Linked DNA regions of Caenorhabditis elegans. The protein of the gene in region 2 interacts with the protein of the main gene of each other region in a pairwise test. Each region holds a gene or a part of one and is shown on either strand. Other genes may lie near its edges.

The links.
Region 1: the proteins of B0034.1 (region 2) and cup-2 interact in a two-hybrid assay, tested with the Caenorhabditis elegans proteins (one large-scale study listed by BioGRID).
Region 3: the proteins of B0034.1 (region 2) and spe-47 interact in a two-hybrid assay, tested with the Caenorhabditis elegans proteins (one large-scale study listed by BioGRID).

Annotation. Positions count from the first base shown.
Region 1 is NC_003279.8:10,398,485-10,401,953, reverse strand, and holds cup-2 (Derlin-1), read left to right. Parts: upstream 1-1,776; coding exon 1,777-1,926; intron 1,927-1,983; coding exon 1,984-2,160; intron 2,161-2,386; coding exon 2,387-2,797; 3' UTR 2,798-2,964; downstream 2,965-3,469. Other genes in the region: tag-353 (Ubiquitin-like domain-containing protein), read right to left, coding at 1-255, 359-478, 582-661, 713-883. UniProt on the Caenorhabditis elegans protein: Specifically required for the degradation process of misfolded endoplasmic reticulum (ER) luminal proteins.
Region 2 is NC_003280.10:5,966,533-5,973,211, forward strand, and holds B0034.1 (Glycine rich superfamily member), read left to right. Parts: upstream 1-1,963; 5' UTR 1,964-1,971; intron 1,972-2,008; coding exon of another isoform or gene 2,009-2,178; intron 2,179-2,225; coding exon of another isoform or gene 2,226-2,293; intron 2,294-2,337; coding exon of another isoform or gene 2,338-2,436; exon of another isoform or gene 2,437-2,437; intron 2,438-2,486; exon of another isoform or gene 2,487-2,999; intron 3,000-3,570; 5' UTR 3,571-3,578; coding exon 3,579-3,621; intron 3,622-4,432; coding exon 4,433-4,588; intron 4,589-5,064; coding exon 5,065-5,244; intron 5,245-5,443; coding exon 5,444-5,569; intron 5,570-5,671; coding exon 5,672-5,931; 3' UTR 5,932-6,130; downstream 6,131-6,679. Other genes in the region: B0034.4 (uncharacterized protein), read right to left, coding at 1,603-1,647, 1,695-1,963, 2,009-2,178, 2,226-2,293, 2,338-2,436; B0034.5 (G-protein coupled receptors family 1 profile domain-containing protein), read right to left, coding at 6,324-6,434, 6,590-6,674.
Region 3 is NC_003279.8:2,615,532-2,620,935, forward strand, and holds spe-47 (Major sperm protein), read left to right. Parts: upstream 1-1,997; 5' UTR 1,998-2,028; coding exon 2,029-2,074; intron 2,075-2,123; coding exon 2,124-2,314; intron 2,315-2,357; coding exon 2,358-2,444; intron 2,445-3,102; coding exon 3,103-3,675; intron 3,676-4,525; coding exon 4,526-4,660; intron 4,661-4,707; coding exon 4,708-4,818; 3' UTR 4,819-4,899; downstream 4,900-5,404. Other genes in the region: ctn-1 (Alpha-catulin), read left to right, coding at 317-406, 1,560-1,578; Protein pid-3, read left to right, coding at 5,128-5,292, 5,340-5,404.

The DNA.
Region 1 (3,469 bases), on a different chromosome or scaffold from region 2:
TTGGCTCGAGCGGGAGCGGCCACCCCTTGAACTCGAATTCTCCACGCCACTGCATTTTGTTGAAGCTGTTGGTTGGCGGGAACTTGATAAATTGGTGCAGCGGGAGTTGTCGATGCGTATGTGTAGTAGTGAGCCATTAATCGCTGATGCTCGGAAACTTGAGCTTCCGGAGACAGTTGATTGTAGGCATTCCAGTACTGTTGCCAGGCAACCATGTTCTGAGCATATTCATTGAGAGCCGATCCCGATGCCGAACTGAAAATTAACTTGGTTTTTTAAATTAAAAATATTATTTTCTCGGCAAAAAAACATAATTTTCAAATAATTATTAAAATATCTATTAAACGTTAAAACTCACTTTTGATTTGATGCAGTATTATTTACATTTCTTCTACGAACATCCGCAGTTGGAGTTGTTTGTTGATATGGTTGTGCGATCATCAAATGAAAGAAGATTTGTTCACCGGCGACATGATTTCTAAAATAATTTCAGTTTATAATTAATTGCAAAATTTTCCATCTTTGTTGAAATTTTCTTTATTTTTATAACAGAATTTTATTAACAGTCAAGAAATACTCACCTTTCTCTTAAAACGTCTGCCAAAACCTGTTCGTTGTTCAGAGAAGCTCCAGAAAAAATCAGCCGTTGTGTGACAACTTCCTAAAACAATTCAAAATATTTTTTATGGATTTTCAGAATTTATAATCTCACCGGATGATTATTCAGGCAATTCTTTACATGCTCCTTGACTTCTTTGATTGTCCAACTTGTCGGACACGAAAATTTCAGATCGCTTTCTGCCTGGTACGCCTGTCGGATCGTCAATTCCACATCATCAGATGGTGACACTTGTTCTGGCACAACGTTGATATCTTCCGTCATTCTTCTGAAAATAAGGAAAATGTGATAAGAAGCCATAAAACGACTTAAAAATAGAGAAAAGTCACGAGACGGGCGGCATTTGTGCATTTTAAATGGTTTTAAAGGAAAAATCAATAATTTTGGCGGAGAAAAAGCATTGAGATATTGCAAATAAATCTGAAGGAAATGGAACAGGTGGCAAAACTTGTTTATTCCATCTCAATTCAGCGTCAAATCGATCAATTATGTGTGTGGTGTGACCGACTAAGACACGTTCACTTAAACGAGAGAAGAGGGGTACGGTCAATGGGTCTCGAAGCGATTTGCCCGCCAGAGTGCATTGACGGCGTGGAAAAGCGTTGCTATGCTTCTCTTTTTCTTCTTATTTTTCATTTTTATCTTTTATTTTTAGTATATTTTTCACTAAAATATTTATTTTCAACATATTAAACATAATTTCATGGAATTGAGCAATAAAAACCTCGGTTTCAAAGCGTTTTCACTGCGTCAAGCAAGTCTTGAAAATTACACTATCATAAATGACAAAAAATACTTCGTTTTAAGTATTATTGATAAGAATTTTTGAGAATGGTTTTTTATCGGAGGAAAATAAAACGTTTTAAAGGAGAAAATTGTGATTTCCATTGTTTTTGCTTAAAGTAAAAAAAAAAGTATTTTTCTCATTTGAAATAATTCAATTATTGTATAGATACCTTAAAATCGAACAGAAATATTAACCTGATAATAATTTAAAAAATTTTGGTGCGCGAAAAACATAAATTTCAACATGTTAAAGAAAAATCGATAATTTGGTACACGCGTATGTATTTCCTTATCCTACGTCAGCTTTTATTCTCTACGGTTCTTTTCATCTGTCCTTTTCAATATTTCACTGCAAATCAATACATTTTCAGATGGATTTAGAAAATTTCCTTCTCGGGATCCCTATTGTGACACGATATTGGTTCCTCGCATCCACAATTATACCGCTTCTCGGTAGATTCGGATTCATCAATGTACAATGGATGTTTCTACAATGGGATCTCGTAGTCAACAAGTTCCAGGTACACTTTTATTATTTTGTCCAGAAATTATATAAGACTAATTGTTAAACATTTCAGTTCTGGAGGCCTCTGACAGCGTTAATATATTATCCAGTCACACCGCAGACGGGATTCCATTGGCTGATGATGTGCTATTTTCTTTACAACTATTCAAAAGCATTGGAAAGTGAAACATATCGCGGAAGATCAGCGGATTACCTTTTCATGCTCATTTTCAACTGGTTCTTCTGCTCGGTACGGTTTTAAATCTTTGTTTTAAAAATATCCTGAAAAAATTTTAAATCCCAAAACTTTTATATTTAAATGTTCTCTTTTATCGAGTTATTAATGCGAATTTTGGAAGATATAATTTAAAATATGTTAAAGCTGGCTCAAAAAAAAGGAAATAACATTGCAATATCCTGCATAATTTTAAAAATCAAAGATAAATGTGTTAAAATGGGAAATAATTAATTTGCAGGGACTTTGCATGGCTCTGGATATCTACTTCCTTCTCGAACCGATGGTGATCTCAGTACTTTACGTCTGGTGCCAAGTCAACAAGGACACAATTGTATCGTTCTGGTTTGGAATGCGATTCCCAGCTCGCTACCTTCCATGGGTGCTCTGGGGCTTCAATGCCGTTCTCCGTGGTGGTGGAACCAACGAACTTGTCGGAATTCTGGTTGGACATGCCTATTTCTTTGTGGCTCTTAAATATCCAGACGAATACGGCGTTGATTTGATCTCCACTCCTGAATTTTTGCATCGTTTGATTCCTGACGAAGACGGAGGTATTCACGGTCAAGATGGAAACATCAGAGGAGCACGACAGCAGCCACGTGGACACCAATGGCCAGGAGGTGTTGGAGCTAGACTTGGAGGAAATTAACAATTGTGATTCTCATTCAGTTTGTGCTTATATTTAGTAATTTATTTCCTTTTTCCTTGTATTGCCTTGCCCCTAAAATAATTATTGGGAAACATCCAAATTACATCAGTCACGAGTCAGTTTCATTGTATCACGCATGTAAATAAGAAGATACGAATAAAAAGTCATCTAAAGTACTGTTTCAGCTCATCATAATATAATTCAGAAAGCATGAGATCAAAGTGGATGCGACAGCCAGAATCGAATAAAAGCTTCGCACGACTCAAGACTCTGTCTCCTACTTCATTCGTCTTTGTTGTCACCTTTTTTTTGCGCCTTTTCGTCTTTTCTTTTGTCGCCGCCAAATTTTTGTCTTTTTCGTTGTCGTCTGTTGCTCTACACATAAAGTTTCAAAAAATAAGTATGTCAAAAACGGGGGGCGGGAAAGAAGAAAAGGGATAACAAATTGCCTTGTCGGAGAGAAGAGGACACGACAAACTCTTCCAACGACGGCTGAACCTAATGGCCCATTTCAGAGAAAGAGAAGAAGGATAACTCTACTTCTTGTATTATTCTAAACTCTTTGTTTTTCTACTGATTTGTTGCTTTTGAGATTTGAAAATAGAACGCTAGTGTTACTATAGAACAGCTGTCGGAAGCCACTCGAAAAAATATTAAAAGCTCCAAAATTCA
Region 2 (6,679 bases):
TTCCCCAAAAATGTTCAAAACAACTCAAACAAAAATATGTATCAATTGAAAACATAACTTGCAACATTTTTGGAAAGCTTCAGATCAATCTTAACAACAAATACTACAATTTGAAGGATATATAAGAAAAGGGACCACCAAAGAGACCAAATGGAAAGAAAGGACAAATGGGAAAAGGTTTCATGGCTTTGGAAGAGGAGAAAGAGTGCCCAGACATACGAATTCGCGCACGCATGGACCGACGGCTCCGGATGTCAGAAGTAGAGAGCACGAGACGCAGACAAGAGTTACGAAATATTGGGGAGACAGTGCGTGAGAGGAAGAGACGCAGAGTGAGTTGCTATGGGAGACCCCGAGGACCTCATTTGTTTTTTCAAATTCCTGCGAAGGTCGGATGTGGAAAATTTTAGTTTGATTGGATTGTTTTTCGAGAAATTCGAGACACTTGATCTTCCACTTTTTCTTCATCAAAAGAGGTCATATTTCATTTTATTGCATTTGTTGAGGGTGGAAATTGTTCCTGCAGATGACTATTATCTACATCATTCAAAAAATGACAAAGTTACGTAATCGGGAAATGTGTGATTGACAGAGTTACGCTGAGATTTGAATAGAAGAAGTGGTAAACATCAAAGCAAAACCTCTTAAGTTTTAATTGGATATAGGTCTCGAATATGTATTGTGTGGTTTTTCAGAAGATTTTTTTTTTAAATTGTTGTATTTTCCAATTCAATTGATTTTAAATTTTAATTTTCTGATTTTTGTGTTAAACTCGGCGCAACTTACTATTATTAAAATTTCTCAGAAGACGATTTAAATTGTATATATATATAAATAGCTTTTGTGTGGCCATTATTTTGAAACTCCATTTGAAAAAAATAATGTGAATAATTTTTCTAACCTATAATTACTGAATGTCAAATACCCATCGAAGATATCAATCTGATTTTGAAACATTATTTTTAAACTTTTCATTCAATCACGACTAACTATTAAAACATGAGTCGAATAACACATACACCGATCATCAAACACCATATTTCTCTCTCGCAACTTGAGCCAATATGAGCATGAACCGATGACAGATGGCCCTGCCATTTAGGATAACATCGTGAAGCGTCAAAGCATAAATGTGCTCTCAAATGGATAATCGGTGATGACTGAAGTGTGTATGTGAGACAGAAACATGGAAAGATGGAAATAAATGAATAATATTCTAATAATCTCATATTTTCACTATTTATCTTGCTTCGCAATGTTCATCATGGTAGCTCACCTCTTGGTTGTTTCTGGGGACCAACTGGGAGAACAGTTACAAATATATTTTAGATTTTTACTGTTTGCCAATTGGTTAGGTTGATGCTGTTATGGGAGACGCCACCATCGTCGCCTTCCGATTTTTGAAAGCTGATTCCCGAAACTGTAGCCTCCTTTTCGATCTGATTGTGAGTTATGAGTTCTTCAATCGATTCTCGAAGTTAGAATTTATTTTTAACCACGAGAAATCAATGAGATTTACAACAAGAATACAGCAAACATTTTATTGACTTAATCGTATTCAAAGGGCAATACATTTTTATTCGAGCTCATTCCTTCGTTGATTCATTTCGGATTGACATCTTTTTCTTTTTCGTTGACAGAAGCTGCCTGTAACTATTTTTATTTTTTATTTTGAATATCAACAAATCACTCACATCTTCATAACTGGGACCTCCTACTTTCTGAATCGATGGAGCATCATGAAGTGTATCATCACTTTTATCATTGATTTTTCCTGGTTTCAGAGCATTACGATGGCGTGCAGTTGGAGTTCGAGCAACTGGTTTTGGCGATTTGGCCTTCACAACATGATTGTCTGGATGAAGTTCTGGTTCAGTGTCAGTCAATGGTTTTTCAGTCAATAATTCATTCGCGTAAATCGATCCTTTTCGAATTGGCTTATGAACCGATGGCATTTTCTTCTCTGAAACGGTAACTAATTATTTCATACTTGTTTTTTAATTCTTACCATCTTTAATATGTTCCGAAACTAGCGGTGGTCCCTGAGCTACAGATCTTTCCGTTTTTTTGGTTGTGGCCACCACCTTCTTTTCCTTCTTTGGAGTAGGAGCTGTAGGCACGGTGGAGTTTGAGATCTTGGGAGATGGCTCAATATTTGACATCGCCTCAGCCTTGTCTCTAAAAATATTAAGATTTGTTGAGCGCTCACATTTCAGATAACTCACTCGTTCAAAGAAGCTTGTTCGAAAGCTGTCACTTTCACTGGTTGCTTATCTTCCACAGCTTTTTTCACCTAAAAACATTATTTTTGAATCTCAAATCATAATAGCTACTTACGGCTGCAGGCTTGGCTCTCTCGCTGGGCTTTTTGGAGAAAGCAGAACATTTGACGATGATTGTGCTAATTAAAACCAAATGAGCTGTTAGAGATAACATTCTGTAATTGCCAAGTGTATTTCTTAAGAAAACAAGAAAATTTAACTCACATACGAAACTATCAAAAGTGACTTCGTAATTTTACAAAATGATGGCTTTTCTGGATTTGTTCCCTTCACGTGTAGAAAGAAACGAGCAAAAAAAATCTTAGTGTTAGCTTTTTAGTTTTCACGGTGAATATGGATATTTTTAATGCTCAAAAAAAAAATATTGAACATGGTTTCAACTTTAACATTGTTAATAGAATCAGATTGATTAAATAAATCTTAGCATAAAAAAACCAATGGGCATACCTTCCTTGGACTTTTTTTTAACAAACGATCTTGTTTACTAATCATATTCTATTTCCCATCATTCTAGAATCAGCAAAAAAAAGTGTGAAACCTGGTGTTTTTAGTCTCCCAAACATCCAGCCTCCAAGTCATCTATCTCCACCTTCTTCTCCTCATTTCAAATTCCTTTTCAATCTCGTTGTTTGTAAATGCAAATTGGGGCCAACAATACAATAGGTGTAAAATGGCATCAGAAGTAGTAGCAGGGGAGGGCAGTCATTCTCTTCTTCTCTGCCCCTTTCACAGCCTTCAATCAGTTTCAGTTTGTATCGTCCATCATTTTCGAGAATACGAGGTGACCAAGGTCAATTCCTTCGGTCCGCCTTGTTTCGTTACATGGTTTCATAGCGAATACTTTTCATAAAAGTGACCAAACCGCTCTTCTACATTTTTTTCTCGCTTCTTCGTCCAACTGAAAGTGATTTCTTTCAATTTATACTACTTTCATCTTATTTAGTACAGATACTAGTATAACTTTTTCCTTTCAATTTCATTTCGCTCATAAAATTGGCTGACTTTTCAGTTATAGTTTTGAATCGTTTCAATGCTTTGACTTCAGTCCAAATTAACTGATTAAAAGATTCAAATTTTTTTAAAGTAAAATTCTTTCTATTTTACAATTGAAGTTATTTTAGAATTTCATTTTTCTGAGTCAATTTTTTTGCATCTGAAATCTAAATTTGAAAATTTTGAAACTATAGAATATTATGTAGTTTTTCTAAAACTGTTATCTTATTTTCTAGGTTTTCAATTTTGCTGTTACATATTAAAAGTATTAAAATTTAAAGTTGAACATTTTCAGCATCAAGAATGAAATCAACACTTCTAATACTACTGTTATCAATCAAACAAGGTACGTATCTTCATATAATTTTCCTCCCGAATCACTATTGTCTTCACTCTGACATCACTTTTAAGACAACAACAGTCACGTTATACACTTAATGATGCTTTTCCTTGTTAATCTCTGAAACCACCCACACCTTCCCAATTTGAGAGTGACAAGAAATTCATTTGTTTGAAAGTATAAACGAGGTTGTAATGAGTCAGGCACTCTTTGAACAATGGAATAAAGAATTCAAAAAGGAGGCAAAAATGTTGTATGTGTGTAATGAATAGATGACCGTAACAGAGGACAAAACACATGATCAGAAAAGGGGGTAAACGGGTGAAGCAGACAGTTTGGCGGGTGGGTCTCATATGATGGCTAATGGGGAGTGTGTGTGTATTTTAAAAATCATTGAAACAAGATCTTCTGAAGCTTTCTGAAGCTTCTGAAGCACAAGGAAAATCACCAAATTTTTGAGAAATGCTGCATTTTTTTTTGAGAAATGCTGCATATTCAGAAACTTACAACGTTCGAATTAGGATCGCAAAAAATTAAAATCGAAATTATTTGCAAATTTTCTTTGATCGGCTTCCAAAATCATGTGTGGTCAAAAGTAATAGAAATCAATTTCCACTTTTTGACTCTATCTGTAAAGGAAAAATTTCAGTTTTTTTTAAATATTTTTCAATACGGTATTCATCCATTTTATCACCCTATAAGTAAAATTATGGTTTTTCAGCTTTAAACTAAAGAGTTAGATCAATAATACAAAAATTTACTATTGAAATTAACTATTGACCTCACTATAATTCACTCGTATTATTCAATTTTACAGGCTCTTCTCAAATAAATCTCGGATCATTCTTTCTCCATCCTCAGCAGAACAATGGCGGCTTCGACATGGGAATGGGACAAGGAGCAAATATTTTAGGATTTGGAGGTGATCGTAGCTTTAATTTAGCTGGTAACAGAGCTGGATTTGCTTTGGGATGTGAGTATTAACACTTTTAACAACAAAATTGCAAAACTCTAAAGACTAAGAACTCTTCGTGTACAGATTTAATAACGTAGGCCTGGCTGCATGCCCAATCGGTAAATTGTTATATGTTGAATAGCTCCTACTGCTCGAAAGATGACCGAGTCATTACAGTTTTCTTTTGAAAATGTGTTGATTACTGGCTTACTATTAGATTCAAACCAAGGTTTTGAAGACTTCCCATTACTTTATATGCGAAGTTATTTTTAAGTTGTACCCAACTTTTATTTTTATAATTGATTTAGCATGTATTAATTATTAAAAATTTAACAATCTTACTATTAGTTAGATATAATTATTTTTTTTATTTATAATTATAACATTTTTTAACAGTATGGACTTCTCAATCTAACTTTCTTTTCATTAATAATTTTCATTTAAATTTACTGTATTTTGCCTTTGATGTAATATTCAATAATTTCCTTTTTCAGCTAATAATGGAGCTCTTGTCGGCGGACAACGTGTTGGAGTTGATGGGGGAATTGGTGGAGGACGTGAAGGTGTTGAAATGGGAAGTCAGGTGCAATTTGGAAATGAGCCAAATCCTGGTCATCCAGCCGGACAGTTTGGAAGTTTTATGGATAATGTCAAAAACTTTTTCTCATTTTTGGGTAAGTTTGACTATAGGAATTTTCTGGAAAGCAGAAGCTAATCGTTCAAAAGGAAAATCATCTGTTCATAAAGTTATCTTGATCAAGCATCAATGTCTTTGTTTTCCATTTCAAGTTTAACACGTACATCATATGAACTTTGAACATCTATAATTCTTCTTTCTCTGGAACTTTTTCTATCTTAAATAAAAAATTACAGGTCGTGGAATGCCAATGCCCCCTCAACAACCACCTCCATCACCTCCATTCTCATTGGGAGTCACTCGTCCACCAACTTTAATTGGTACTGAAAGATCTGAAAGTGAAAATGGAGGAAGACATAGACGTATGTGATTATATATTTATTGAAACAGTGGGGATTTGTTAAAACAGGAGCTCTATGTTTTTTAAATTTGTTTCACATTCCTTTCACACAATTTTCTTTCAGCTCGCCCATGGTTCCCAGAAGGTGAACAAATTCCAGAAGTAACTGGAGAAATGAGGCCAAAAGAAGGAGAAGCTGGAATTTCTTCATCATCCTCTTCCTCTTCTGAAACTGAATTCATTGGGCCAAACAATGGAGAAATCCCCAGAAAATCTGTCGAGTTCAGTATCGATAAAGAGCCAAGAGAGGAGTTCACTGAGGATTTATTCACGGCACAAACAAGTCGACCACGAGAGTTGCCAGGGCTTATAGAGTTTGCCTAGATTATCTTAATTCTCCCATCTTTATATATTTTCTCAAACATTCCCTTACATAGATTTTCATGACCTTTCTACGGGTTTTGTAAATATTTAAATAGTTCTTGATCTTTTACGCTGCCCTTTTTGAATAATTTAAGTTGAATTGTCAAAAAAATTGCAGAATCACAGCTTTATGAATAAATCTTTATGACCAGCAACAAAAATACGCAGTGAACTATGAAATGGTATTGTTACGCAGAAAGAATCACATCTTATGTGACGTCATGCTTACACTTGAAATTTACATATTTATAAGAATTTAGTCACAATTGTGAAAAAAACCGATGACCCGTTGATCATTTGGAATTACAAATCACAGTTAAAACAATTGAATTACATACATAGAATTGAAACTATTAAACTAAAATCTTTGCAATCAGAGAAAAGGTTTGATGCATCTTTTGTTGATGTTCGCTTTTATGAGTGAATGACTTTTTTACAGCTCTTCGAAGCTCCGGATTGCACAGCTGAAATGAAAAAAAGTATGAGTTGATTTTGTGTTACAGTTTATATCTCTAAAGAAACATCTGAAAACATTTGCAACGTCCCGTTTCAGCCAGTAAATTTGAGGATTGTTACAATAAAATTTCGAACTGACAAATTCAAATTTATAATCACTTACCATATATATTGGGAGTCGAAGTGCACAAGCAGTCACTACCAGAACTGAAGAAAGATCAGCGGATAACATGTACTCTTCCAAGAACCTGAA
Region 3 (5,404 bases), on a different chromosome or scaffold from region 2:
CCGGCAATTTGTTGATTTGCCGGAAATTTCAATTCCGTCAATCTGCTTATTTGCCGTTTTGCCGGAAATTTTCAATTTCGGCAATTTGCCTATTTGCCGACTTGCCGGAAATTTTCAATTCCGGCAATTTGCCGATTTGCCGGCTTACCGGAAAAAATCAATTCTAAAAATCAATACAAAAAGCTCGAACATCAAAATATGAGAAATGCAAAACTACAGTACCCCTACGAAATTTAAAGGCTCATACGAATTTTGCTACCAGCATATTCGAAAATTTCATACAAAAAATCAATTTTACACCCAACATTTTTTGCAGGTTTGGCGCCGGACACCAAGCATCCGACGAGCCGCGCCGCCGACCTCTTCGCACCTTTCCGCCAACAACTCATCAAGCATACACATTTAGGTAAACACTTTTCATTGACTCCGCCCATAACTTGGTCATTTGCAACGAAAAATTGTAAAGTTTAGGCCAAAATGCAGCATGCTTTGGACTGAAGCCTCAAAAAATGCGCATAAGATAAAATAGCTCAAAAAAGTGAATTTGGTAAGAAACTGTTGAGTTGTTCTATAAGTTCTCGGTGTTTTGCTAAGTTTGCTTTTTGTACGCCTGTCCGCGCGGCCGAGAAAAATAAGAAAACTTGGCCACCGATTTTTTTTTGCTTCTTACTTCCTGATTTTGCGATACCAATCTCCATAAATTTGCATAGAATTGGGTAGGTAGGCACGATTTAAATAAGTAGGCGTACGATAGGCGTAAGGTAGGCAAGTATGCCGACGAAAATAAGGCAGGCAGGCATGAGGCAAAGTACGTAGGTAACCTAACAAATAATATAAATTTGTTTAGGTTGTAAGGTAAGCAAGTAAGCAGATAGGCTTAAGGCAGGTACATAGGTAGTCTAGAAAGGCATAGGCACGTAGGCACGGCACTAGGTAATCAAGTAGGCAGATAGGCTTGAGGAAGGCTAGTAGGCAGGCAGGTAAGCAGGACAGTAGGAGAAAGACAAATGGGTAGATAGGCGTAAAGCAGGTATGTAGGCAGCTCAAAAAGACATGGACACGTAAATACGAGGCAGACAAGAAGCAGGTAGGCAGGCATTGGATAGGCAAGTAGGTAGGTATAGAAACAAGCATGTGCAAGCCAGACGGAAACTTAATGAAACTACATGGAGTAGGTAGGTAGGCATTGGATAGACAAGTAGGCAGACGTGTAAGCAAGCTTGCGTGAAGTAGGCAGGTTTTTAGCAAGGTACTACTTACCTCACGCAAACTTGCTTACATGCCTGCCTACTTGTCTATCCAATGCCTACCTATTCTATTCTAGGTCTGCCTCATGCTTATACGTCTTGCCTACCTGCTAAAGTGCCTGCCTACCTACCTACTTCTTGTCTGCTTCCTGTTTACGTGCCCATGTCTTTCAGGCTACCTACGTACCTACTAGCAAGGCATAGGCACATACGCACAAGGAATGAGGTTCAGCGATCTGCGCTTCGTGGCCTCGAATAGGGGAAACTTCGGCCACCGATTTACAGGCCACTTTTCAATTTAATTTTTTGCAGTAGTACAATTGCGAGCTGACGTCATCACCGTTCCGCGGCCGCCCACAGGATCTCTCCCATTTTGTTTTTCAGAGCCCTATATTTTCTTTCATTTCTTCAGTTTTTTTGCCACGTTTCTTCCTCTCTCTCTCTCTCATCTTTCCATGTCATACCATTTGCCCAAACCTCGCGAATATTCAAAATGACTTACTTTTTAAAAATGCTGGTTTTTTATTGATTTTATTGATTTTTTTCTGTTGACTATTGTTTACAAGAAAATAGTTCGTTCTTTCTTTGTGTACTCCACGTGAACAAGAAAACTTTGCGCGTCAAATATGATGTTTCGGCTGTGGAAATGCAATAATAGGAACGTGAACCTTTGAGAAGTATAAAAATAATAATAGTTACGTAATTTTATTTGGAGGGGGGGGGGGGGGCATTTTCAATCATTTTGAATTTTTCACAAGCTAGCAAAGTAGCAAATTCGAAGATGGCGCTTGAAAGCATTGGACAGCGAAGCAAGCAATTTTATTACGGTAAGTGACGTCACTCCCCGTAAACTAGGCCACCTATGACGTCATTCAGACCATGCCGCTGGTGACACCGCAACTCAGAAGCACATTAGCCACGAGAAGAGCCAGATCAATTTGGAAATGACTGGCGAGCCAGGAGGAGGGGAGCGCCGATATTTTGAAGGGCTTGTTGGAACTAAAGAGCTTGTCATATTATCTGCACTGACCATGTGCTTGTACTTGATCAATGGAGAGTATGCACAGGTTATTGATTTTTTGCAGCCGCCATCTAGTTTTCTGTTTTCAGACAATTTGCACCGCGCTGACGTCAGTGCCGCCGGCTCTTTTTTCGTATCGAGTTTTGACAAATCAGATGACTGATAAGCAGGGATATGTGAGTTTCGAATTCCACTACGTGGTCGCGAAAAAAAAAACTCGGCCACCAACGTAATACACCGGATTTTTTCCTCCTTCGTTTGCGCGTAAAACATGGTGCATCGATGTCGGTGTACCGCACGGCCGTATCCACTTCTGGCTTTCTTCACATTTTGAAATGGAAGAGTTTGCCGAATTAGGCCATTTTGTCTCGGCCACGGTCGGGGTAGGTTTACGGCGCGTTGCGTGTCGCGTCGCGGCTCGGTTTTCATTGTGAAACTAAATGTCTTGTCCGCGTGGAGTACACGACTTCTCCACCCGTTGTCCGGTTGGCGATTGTCAGTGGAGCGCGAAAAATGCAATGAGGGAGACTGGAAGCCCGTGTACCCATATTTTTCACAGGGTTCTGGCCTGCCTCATTGAATTTTTCGCGCTCCATTGAAACTCCACACCGACAAATACATTTAGTTTTACAACTGAAACCGAGCCGCGACAAGACACGCAACGCGCCGTAAATCTACCCCAAATATGGCCGAGCTAAAATGGCCTAGTTCGGCAAAAACTCTTCCATTTCAATTTATGAGGGAAGCCAGAAATCCGTGAATAGTCCCCATATAATTTTGGTGGAAATGTTCTAAAAATCGAAAAATCCACTAAACTAAAGCTAATTTTTCCAGCACTCAATTCTGTTCTACTGGACCCTTTACGGGCTCACTGCTCTAATCGATCAATTCGCTGGAACAGCTCAAGGATACAATCTCTGCAAGTGTGGCCTCCTTGGCGTATTTTTCTTCCACGCGGTCCGCTCCAACTTGTCCGCAGTGCCCGCCACCTGGAAATTCGCGGAGAAGCTTGAAGTTCTGACGTCACTGGTTTCACAGCTGGAGACTGATGGTTTTCTGCGGAACTACGATGCGATGACACCAACGATAACCCAGTTTTCTGAGGATGACTCGCTGCAATACATATTCCCAGTGGAAGAGAATTTGGAAATGAGCACAGCGTGCAGTTTCGTGCCGTCACTTGATATGCAGAGCACCCAGAATCCGTCTCCATCTACTTTGAAAACTATGAAAATCGAGGAAAGCCGGAATTTCCAGACCATGTCGGCGATGACGTTGGCCTGCGGTGGAGCTGCAGCAGATATTGTCACCGTGCCGGCCGACCGGATCACGTTTGCCGCTGGCAAGCTGGAAGAAGTTATTCGAGTCACTAACGTCTCGCAATCGCATATTATGTTCGCTTTGAAGGTGAGGTCTCGGTTTGGCGCGTAAAATTGTATGTATTGTGGTTTTTGTGCAATTCACCGACTTCAATGCATCGGACTTTACGCACAAGTTGGTACTTTGTGATTTTCCAAACATTTTTGCTGAAAAAAAAAATTGAAAATTCGAATTTGCGTGTAAAATTAACTCGCAAATTATTACGATATTATCAAAATATATAAACTGACATGTGAAACGTGGCTTATTTTTTATTTTGTTTTTTATTTAAGCGCCTCCCATTTTTTTAAATGAGCTAATAAATAAAAATTTTAACGAAAGGCCAGGAATGGGAGGAGCTTAAATAAAAAACAAAATAAAAAATAAGCCACGTTTCACATGTCAGTTTATATATTTTGATAATACTTAACACAAAATTCTGAGAATGCTTATGGCGCAACATATTTGACGCGCAATATATCTCGTAGCGAAAACTACAGTAATTCTTTAAACGACTACTGTAGCTCTTGTGTCGATTTAACGGCTCGATTCTAGATAGAAATTTTTAGATAGCTAATTAGATATGGATTTTCGAAATATCGATAGAATATTAAAATTAAGCAAAAAAGTAAATAATTCGAAGAAACGAATTGTTTTCATTTCGAAAACGAAACCCGTATATCGACACAAGTGCTAAAGTAGTCCTTTAAAGAATTACTGTAGTTTTCGCTACAAGATATTTTGCGCGTCAACATTCTAGAAATCTAGAAATTTCTAGATTTCTAGAAAATCTAGAAATTTCTAGAAATTTCTAGACGCATTCTAGAAATTTTGTGCTCCCGTAATATACACAAATTGAATTGTATAATGTAAATTGTTTGAAAACCGATAATTTCAGACAAATGCCGACGCCTACCTCATCGCTGCTCCAACTTCTGGAGTTCTTCTGAGCGGACAAAGCATGACAATCCGTGTTGGAGTCACTGGCAACTACTTCGATGATTTTTCGGATCCTGGAGTTTCCATTGATAAGGTTATTTTATAATTCTATTGAATAAAACTTCAATTTCCGATTTCCAGCTCGCCATCGACTATGCTCTGATCCCCAGCCGTTCCTACTCCAAATTTTCCTCCGAGTTCTTCTATTCCCAGAACCGACGTCGCCTCGCAATTCGTGTGTTCTATCAATGATTTGTCTCTTTTCTCGACTTTATTTTATTTATTTTTGTATTTGTAAAAAGCTTTTATGAGTAAAATTGTGTTTAAATCATGTTTTCCTGGCATTTCTACTTCCATGGGAGATTTCGATCCCTAAAACTGAGGTTTCAAACAAGCTGCAAGTACGCTCTACCGTACGAAGCCATTTTCAAACGCGGGAAATTGTTTCAAAAATTAATTTCGGAGATTTCTTTTTCATTTTTTCTGATTTTCTCGGCCTGTTTCTTCAGTTTTCTTGTAAAATTTACTGTTTAATTAATAAAAATGTACATTTTTCAGAAAATGGTTGCCCATCAGAAGGCGGATTTCAAGTCGAAATGGGCGATGGTCGTGACTGTCAATAACCTGAATGACAAGAAGCGAGCCGATTTGAGAGAATTTTCCGAGTGGTTTATCGAGACTTTGAGATTGGAAGGAGCTTTTATTGGTCACTATTTCAATTATGAGGTTATTAAGAGTTAATAATTAATTAATTATAAATGCAATAATTCCAGGCTGCACCGGTGACCATCGTCGAGACTTTGCCAGGCAATTTTGACTCATGCACTAATGCATATCA